Linked DNA regions of Schizosaccharomyces pombe. The gene in region 1 interacts genetically with each later gene. Each region holds a gene or a part of one and is shown in the gene's direction. Other genes may lie near its edges. The genes, in order: coa5 and pof10.

The links.
Region 2: mutations in coa5 (region 1) and pof10 together harm fitness more than expected from each alone (negative genetic interaction), as found in Schizosaccharomyces pombe (one large-scale study listed by BioGRID).

The regions. Positions count from the first base shown.
Region 1 is NC_003423.3:4,266,399-4,270,197, reverse strand, and holds coa5 (cytochrome c oxidase assembly protein Coa5), read left to right. Parts: upstream 1-2,027; 5' UTR 2,028-2,107; coding exon 2,108-2,278; exon of another isoform or gene 2,279-2,327; coding exon 2,328-2,414; 3' UTR 2,415-2,839; downstream 2,840-3,799. Other genes in the region: nda2 (tubulin alpha 1), read right to left, coding at 1-1,062, 1,153-1,207; SPOM_SPBC16A3.17C (transporter), read right to left, coding at 2,840-3,799.
Region 2 is NC_003423.3:2,923,698-2,928,428, forward strand, and holds pof10 (F-box/WD repeat protein Pof10), read left to right. Parts: upstream 1-1,816; 5' UTR 1,817-1,865; coding exon 1,866-1,923; exon of another isoform or gene 1,924-1,977; coding exon 1,978-3,857; 3' UTR 3,858-4,093; downstream 4,094-4,731. Other genes in the region: rio2 (RIO family protein kinase), read left to right, coding at 316-381, 536-1,504; acl1 (ATP citrate synthase subunit 1), read left to right, coding at 4,317-4,476, 4,524-4,597. UniProt on the Schizosaccharomyces pombe protein: Probably recognizes and binds to some phosphorylated proteins and promotes their ubiquitination and degradation.

The DNA.
Region 1 (3,799 bases):
CGATTCCACTACCAGGAACGTGTTGGGGTGGCTCATAGCAAATACCGATTTTGAAACCAGTAGGGCACCAATCAACAAATTGGATGGTGCGACGAGATTTAATGCTAGTAACGGCAGCCTGGACATCACGTGGGATAACATCACCACGATACAAAAGACAAGTAGCCATATAGCGGCCAGTTCGTGGATCACATTTTACCATTTGATTATAAGGCTCAAAGCACTGATTCGTAATCTCTTGTACGCTGTTGGATTCATGGAATGCTTTAGCTGCACTGACAATAGGAGAATAAGTGACTAAAGGAAAGTGAATACGAGGGTATGGCACAAGATTAGTTTGAAACTCATTTAAGTCAACATTTAAGCTACCAGCAAATCGAAGAGAAGCGGTGATAGAAGAGACAACTTGAGCAATAAGGCGGTTGAGGTTTTCATAGGTTGGACGCTCAATGTCAAGATTTCGGCGACAGATATCGTAACAAGCCTCATTATCAACCATAAAGGTACAGTCAGAGTTATCGAGAGTAGCATGGGTAGTGAGCACAGAGTTGTAAGGTTCAACAACGGATGTGCTCACTTGAGGGGCGGGATAAACAGAAAATTGGAGGTTAGATTTCTTTCCGTATTCCATGTTCAAGCGCTCCAGAAGTAAAGCACCCAAACCCGAGCCGGTACCACCACCAAAAGAATGAAATACAAGGAAACCTTGGAGACCAGAACAATTGTCAGCCATACGACGTATCCTTTCTAATACACTATCAATCATTTCCTTTCCTACAGTATAATGTCCACGGGCGTAATTGTTAGAAGCATCTTCCTTACCAGTTACCATCTGTTCAGGATGAAACAGATCTTTATACGGTCCAGTACGAACTTGATCAATAACGTTAGGCTCAAGATCAACATAGATACTTCTAGGTACGAATTTTCCTTGCCCGGTTTCAGAAAAAAATGTACCGAATCCATCATTTAAATAGCTATTGTTTTTGTGAACTTCGGAGTTTTCTGTAGGAAAACCGTCGGGTCCTATGCCATGCTCCAAACAGTACAACTCCCAGCATGCTAGAAATGTTAGCTAAATTTTTTATGAAAAAATCGATTGCCAACTATTTAGAGTATACAGCAATACAAAAAGATGGATATTGAACATACCGTTACCGATTTGAACACCTGCTTGTCCAACATGAACAGAAATTACTTCTCTCATAATTTGTGATAATAACGAATGTAAATGCAACTAAACGCGCTACACAAGACGTTTTGGTTGCAAACTTAGGTTGTTTGTCAAGGGAGAGCGTAGGTACTCCAAGTCATGAGTAGGAAATAACGAAAAACGAATGAACTCGTAAAGCACTAAGGAGGGAAGTTTATGCAATGAGGTTCCAAAACTCATACCATGCAAATAACATAATGTTTTATAAAGAAGTAATATAAGTAGTATTCATTAATATTCTTGCAATGATCAATTTTCGAATTTTTCTGTACTGTACGGATTGAAGTGACGATAAATGTAAACAAAGAACTATGATTTGAAAGACATTTTTTCACGAAGCAAATGAACATAATTATTAGTATTTAAGCATAAATAATGAGAATTATGCTCCTTTGCCAAAGAATACGAGAATTTGTTTCAAATATGTAACAATTGTTTATAAAAACATACTAGCAACACTTTACGGTTTTTGATAAGAAAGGTTATAATCATTGCATTGCGTTTTACTGTTTTCTATATAATGATGTTTTATACTTGAGTGATTTGCAATAAATGCATTAAGCGTATACTTAAAGGTTAGAAACCTCAGAAAGTAGGTTTGAAAGCAAAGCTTTGTGGGTTTGTAATCACTGTCAAATTACTATGCGTTTAGCCCGACAAAAGATTTTGGATTCCCAGTTTTATGAAACCTAATTAAAAGCAGCTTGCTTAATTATTTTCTTAATAGTATGTATTTTACGTATGGTGAATCTAGTATAGAACATTTGATCATATGGTTCTTTTAAGGGATTAACAAATTGTAGAGGTTCACCTTACCTTACGCCAAATCCTATTTTCTACTGACAAGAACGAATTCAATGTACTTTTAGCCTTGTTTTAAAATTACAGTAAAAAATGGGCCGATCGTGTAAAGTTATTCGTGAAGATTTAGCAAATTGTTTGTTACATTCTGATTGTATGTTTGTTAAAAAAAAAAGTGCACGAGAATGTCTCAAAAACAAGGACGAACTTCCAGAAGAATGCAAAAATCTGATAGAGGCGTATGGCGAATGCAAACGTCAAATGGTACGTTAATGCTTGGCTCTTATTATTTTACTAAATGGTTATAATTCAGCTGGATATGACTAAACGATATCGAATTGCGCCAGAAAAAAACACCGACCAAGATACTGAGAAGCCATCAAATGTTGACGAACAATAAATCTATGGTTTCATAGACAATTAAATCATACAAACAGATATTACTAAATTATGCCATTAAGAAAAGCTACCTATTCTATGAACCATCAGAGGTCGTAGTGTGTTAAATTCTAGCGATATTATTTCGACTATCTACTTAATTAAATGCATTCAAGGTTTCGATTTTAAAGATGAAGTTTTAATTTCCGAATTCCCTGCAAACAAATTAAAAGTGTTTTCTACTAGGTATAATCAAAGATATACAGTATAATTCACCCTCTAGGATTATCTCTAGCTATCGGTTTCTAAAAAAAAAATTGAGATATAACTACACAAACTTTCCTTAAAAATCCTGTTTCTCAAGTTAACTCAAAGGCACATTCGAACAGTGAGAAAGACGTTAAAGCAATAAATTTCTAAATAATAAATAAAACAAAATAAAATAATTTACACCTTTTCGGCTGGCTTTTCATCGCTATCACCTTTCTTTTTTGCTGGCACAGATTGAGCATTACTTATCAAGGGACGGCTTTTAATGAAAAATATAGAAGCAAAACCAATTGCCATCACAACAGTACAAAATATCCAAATAACCCTGAAGGCAGACGCATAGGTATTCTTTACACGAATCTGTAATTCCTGGGGTAACCGTTCAACCTGTTTATAAGATAACTGAGCATAAGTTGTATTCCCGTCAAAGGATTGAGTAACCCGTTCATTAAATATTACTTCACCAACTGTAATACCAATAGAACCACCCATGGTACGTATAAACATAAGTGTAGCAGTAGCCATGGAAGTCATTGCAGGTGGAAAAGTTGCCTGCATTGCAATGAGCGGAGGCAGAAAAAGAAAACCAGATCCGAACATAAATATGGTAGTTAACCCCATGACTTTGCTCATAGAGGTCGTAGCATTTACACATATCATTGCACCCATACCGGCAACACAGCTGATATATCCAACATATATCAACGGCAAGTAACGTCCTAGCTTCCGAAGAACCATGCCAACTGTCGTACAAAAAAAGCACAGCACAGCTGCACAAGGGATAGTATGTACACCAGACATAATGGGATTGTCACCGCGAATCCGTTGAAAGTATTGAGGAACGTAATATGCAAAAAGCATGTAATTTAAATAGAAAAAAGATGAACAAGCCAGCAAAGCTGCACTAGAACGATTTTTAAAGAATGGAGGTGGTAAAACAGCATTTCTTTTCGTAAAAGTATCATATATAAAAGCAAATACAAATAAACAACCGCCAATAATAAGATAACATAGGATATTAGCACGGCGCCATTTCCCCGATGATGCACCTAAAGAAATTCCCAAAAGAATCAATACGATACCGGTTATCACACATACAAGGCCAATGAAGTCAAAAGTCTTCAAAAACTTTTTAAA
Region 2 (4,731 bases), 1.3 Mb from region 1:
GGAAGGTTTAATGTATATTTTAAGTAATCCTAATTAATAAATTATTGAGAAATGCTTAAATAAGATATTTAAAGACAAAATTGTGTATAGCTCTCATATTTTAAAAAAGTTGGTATTCATTTTTGTGGTTACATAATTTTAAAGCGTGAAGTAAAAAATGTTTCTCAGATGGCAAGTAATACTTTAAGCACACTTAGCCAAAACACCAACCATTTTGACGAGAACCACAATTTAGTGATTGTCGGAATTGAACTTTGATTAGCATTCTTACTTATTTTTTTATTTTTAGCAAGAAAAAAAGTTAAGCTCGTCAAGATGGTAAATTTGAATATAAAAGCAATGAGATATCTTTCTGCCGAGGATTTTCGCACTCTGACAGCTGTAAGCACTTTATTTTATCTTTGGGCAGTCATATAGCTTAAATCGTTTTGATCGTACAATGTTTTGTATTTTCTTACTTATTGACACATACGATATGATGCATTCAATTAATTATATTTTGATTTCAATAAGTATTCGAACTAACAAGTTATAGGTAGAAATGGGAAGCCGTAATCATGAAGTTGTTCCAACGAATATGATTAATCAAATTGCTAAAATACGCGGTGGCTCTTGTACGAAATCATTGTCCGTTTTGTTTATGCATAAATTAATTGCAAAGGTGCCGCATATCAGCTATGAGGGCTATCGACTAACATATGCGGGATATGATTACTTGGCATTGAAGGCCTTGTCAAAGAGAGCATCCGTTTACTCTGTCGGTAATCAAATAGGCGTCGGTAAAGAATCTGATGTCTACGTCGTAGGAGACCAAAAAGGAAAGCAATATATCTTAAAAATCCACAGGCTTGGGCGTATATCTTTCCGGAGTGTAAAAAACAATAGAGATTATTTGAGAAATCGTAAAACTGGATCATGGCAGTATCTGTCTCGATTAGCTGCCACAAAAGAATTTGCTTTTATGAAGATCTTGCATGAGCATGGTTTCCCTGTACCTGCTCCAATTGATCATTCCAGGCATTGTATTATCATGGAAATGATTGATGCGTTTCCTCTTCGTGCTGTTACTGACATTCGTGATCCACCTGCTCTATATCAGACATTAATGGATATTATCGTTCGATTTGCAAGGAATGGGTTAATACATGGTGATTTCAACGAATTTAACATCATTGTTCGTGAAGATGGAACAGCTGTTGTAATTGATTTTCCGCAAATGGTATCTACTAGTCATCCTGATGCGCAATTTTATTTTGATAGAGACGTACAGTGCATTGTGCAATATTTTGAAAAAAACTATCAATACAAAGGTGATGTTCCTAATTTCGAAGACATATCGAAAATGGAAAAGGAAAATAATTTGGATATCATGATTGAGGCTTCAGGATTTAATAAGAAACAATCTAAAGAACTAGAAAAATATAGACAAGAAGAAGAAAAAAGAAAAGAAAATGGTGATGATTTATCTGATAACTATGAAGAAGAAGAAGAAGAGAAGGAATGATGGTTTTAATGAAACCATATTGCACAATTGCATGTTCAGTAAAATCATTTATTCATTTTATTAGGTATTTCTGGTGTTAGGGACTAGCATAGGGTTAATATATTCAGCTTTTTTGGTTACTGTTTTAAATTTTCATTTCAATTTGGATGTAGATAAAAGCATTTTAATTAATCTATCAAAAGATACAAGCAAACATTAATTTTCGAATATAAAATGCTCGTTAATTAATGATTACAGGACGTTTTCTGAGCGATACGTTGGTACACGTAGTAAGTTCCACTTTATATACTAAGGCAAAACGCCAAGACCAATGAAATCGGAACCAACATCTTTGGATTTTACATCCTCAAACCTAAGGAGAATGAATCGGGATCATTCTTCAAATAATACGAATAGAACAGTTTTAAACCTGCCAAAAGGTAAATTCTCACACATTCAATTTTAGTTTTCGAGATTTTGTTAACTTTTTCTAGAAATTTTGATCATTATATTTTCGTTTCTTGATCCTCGCTCTTTACTTTCTGCTCAATGCACTTGCAAATATTGGAAAAAGTTATTATCCGATGATTTAAGTTGGCGTACTGCTTTTTTTCATCACTTTGCGGGTGATCAGTCGCAAATATTTAGTCCACTAGGTAATGGAACATGGCGGCAAGAATATCTTTTACGTTCTACCATTACTAGAGCTTATGAAAAAGGGAAAGGGCAAACAGTTCAGTATGATTGTCGCGTTGGACAATTGACCAACCTTTATTACGACTTTTCTTCAGGAAGGCTTTATTCAGGAAATTGGCTTACTGGAACAATCTCCGTTTCCGACCCTACCACTGGAAAGGTTGAGAGGTCTTTATTACATGCTAGTACTGATGGCAGCTTTACGCATGGATTATCTACAATGACATTGGGGAAACAAATTTTTGGCTTTGGTTTTATGGATGGTCGCGTTGGAGTTATTTTGATGTCACGTCAAGCCGAGACTCCTCGAAAATTTCGTTATTGTCTGGATTCCCATGCTGATTCAGTTACATGCATTGATGCATTAACCGGTGATTTGCCCCCCACTGGGGAAATCGGTATGGTTACTGGATCAGATGATGGATCCGTGCATTGCTGGGATGTTAAAACAGGTGTTAGTCTTCAATCATTTCAATTCCGTTCTTCACAAATCCTTTCTTTGTGTTTCAGGCCGAAATACAAAATGCTACTCGTTGACACTTTTAATTATGAACTTAACTCATATCAATTATACTTAATACCGGGCTATGCTCGCTCCCGAAAGAATGAGCAGCCTATACTTTTATCGTCCAGAAAATGTGTGTTAACTGATGAAGAGGAACCTCCTTGTCTGATGACGGCAGATTGCTGTGCCGGTGTTGCCTTCTTGTCCAGGGGCGCACCGAAAAATTGTATTTGTCGAGTTTCATTTAAAGAATTTTTGGAGAAAAACGATAATGTCGGCGTTCAAACATCTTCAATTCCTCTCAACGGAAAACCAACCTCAATCTCCTTAGATACGAACGATCGTGTGTTGTCAAAATCAACTCCTGGTAGAGGAGCAAGACTGCTCGCTGTTGGTGATGAAAATGGTTTGGTTTATGTTGTAAACACTCGCACTGAAGATCCTAACAAGGCCATTCTTAGAACTATTACTGCATACTCAAATTTTCCTATTACCGATATTTACTTGAATGAAGTTGCAATGGTAGTAGGGTCGGCTAGCGGCTATTGCGGAGTATACGATACCGTTACTGGGAATTTTTTGAAAAAAATAGCGAGTGCCAGGAATGCTGCTAGAAGAGAACCAATTAATTGCATACTGCTTGACTCAAATCCGTTAAGTTTGAAAGGTGTGATCACCATGAGCAAGCATGTCAAATCTTGGTCTTATACAATTCCCAAACCTTTTGTTAATAAAAGGTCCAAGGTTTTACCCTTGAGACCTTCGGTGACACACGATAATCTGTCGAAGTCGTCTGACTACTCAAAAAATGAAGTCGAAAGAGAAATCATGTTAGGTTTGGACCAAATTGCTCAGGAAAGACGAGAAAAAATGGAAGCCCGGCAAAAATTTGAACAGCATTTTGGTGAGGGCTTGGTTGGTTTAAGTGAAGAAGAAATCATAGCATATGTTACCATGCTTTCACAAGAAGAGGAAGCTAAGAGAATGGTTCAGCTCTCCATGGATGTTGATAAAATAGAAGAAGATTTTAAAGAAAACGATGAACAAGCTACATCGTCATTAAATGCTTTAAGTTCAAATCATGAGCCACCGCAAGAACAAGCGAATGTTGCTGAACTGAACGAACAAGAGCAGATTGAACTAGCCATGCGATTATCACTCATGGAAATGTGATACACCTAGTAGTTTACTAAGAGGGAAAAAGTAGAAAAATATACGTTAGTTAAATTTTTGCATCTGCATATAGTCATGTCCTTCATCTATTTATTACATGCTTCATCAATCTTCCGAAGTAAAAAAAGGAGGAGGATTCAAGGGATTTTGGTGGGAATTTTTATAATTCAAAATAGAGGTTACTTTAATTTTGTTAATAAAATCTTTTAGGAATACGTATTTTCTTATATCCTACTATGCTTATTTAAGGATAATATTATTGCTTAATAAAAGCATAAAAAAATATTCTTAAGGCATACGCACCGTTGATCAGTGAATGTATAAAAAGTATCGCTTGATTGCGTTATCTGATTTTCAAAATTTCAATTATCGCAAACATCTCGTTAAATGTAAAAAAGTGTTCAGCAAAACAATGAGCGAACGTTCCTTACCTCCTCCAACACAGTGACAAGAACAACAATGGCGGGATCAGTGGATAAACCTTCTTATGAGCTTTTTTCCAAGGACACCAGAGCCTTTGTGTATGGCATGCAGACAAAGGCTGTTCAAGGAATGCTTGACTTTGATTATATGTGTGGTAGAACTGTTCCATCTGTAGCTGCTATCATATATACGTTCGGTATGTGCTTCGTTGATATAAAAATTTGAATACTAACGCGTGCTTAGGAAGTCAAAGTATCAGCAAGCTTTATTGGGGTACTAAAGAAATTCTGTTGCCTGTTTATCGTACAATTGAAGAAGTAAGTTGTCCGCATAAATATGCTTATTAGTTTGCAAATAAGCGTTTTAGCAAAAGATGTTCATGCTGATTTTCGATATTACATCAGTGATTCGTTTTCTACAACAAATCGCAGACGGAAATGATTAAATCACA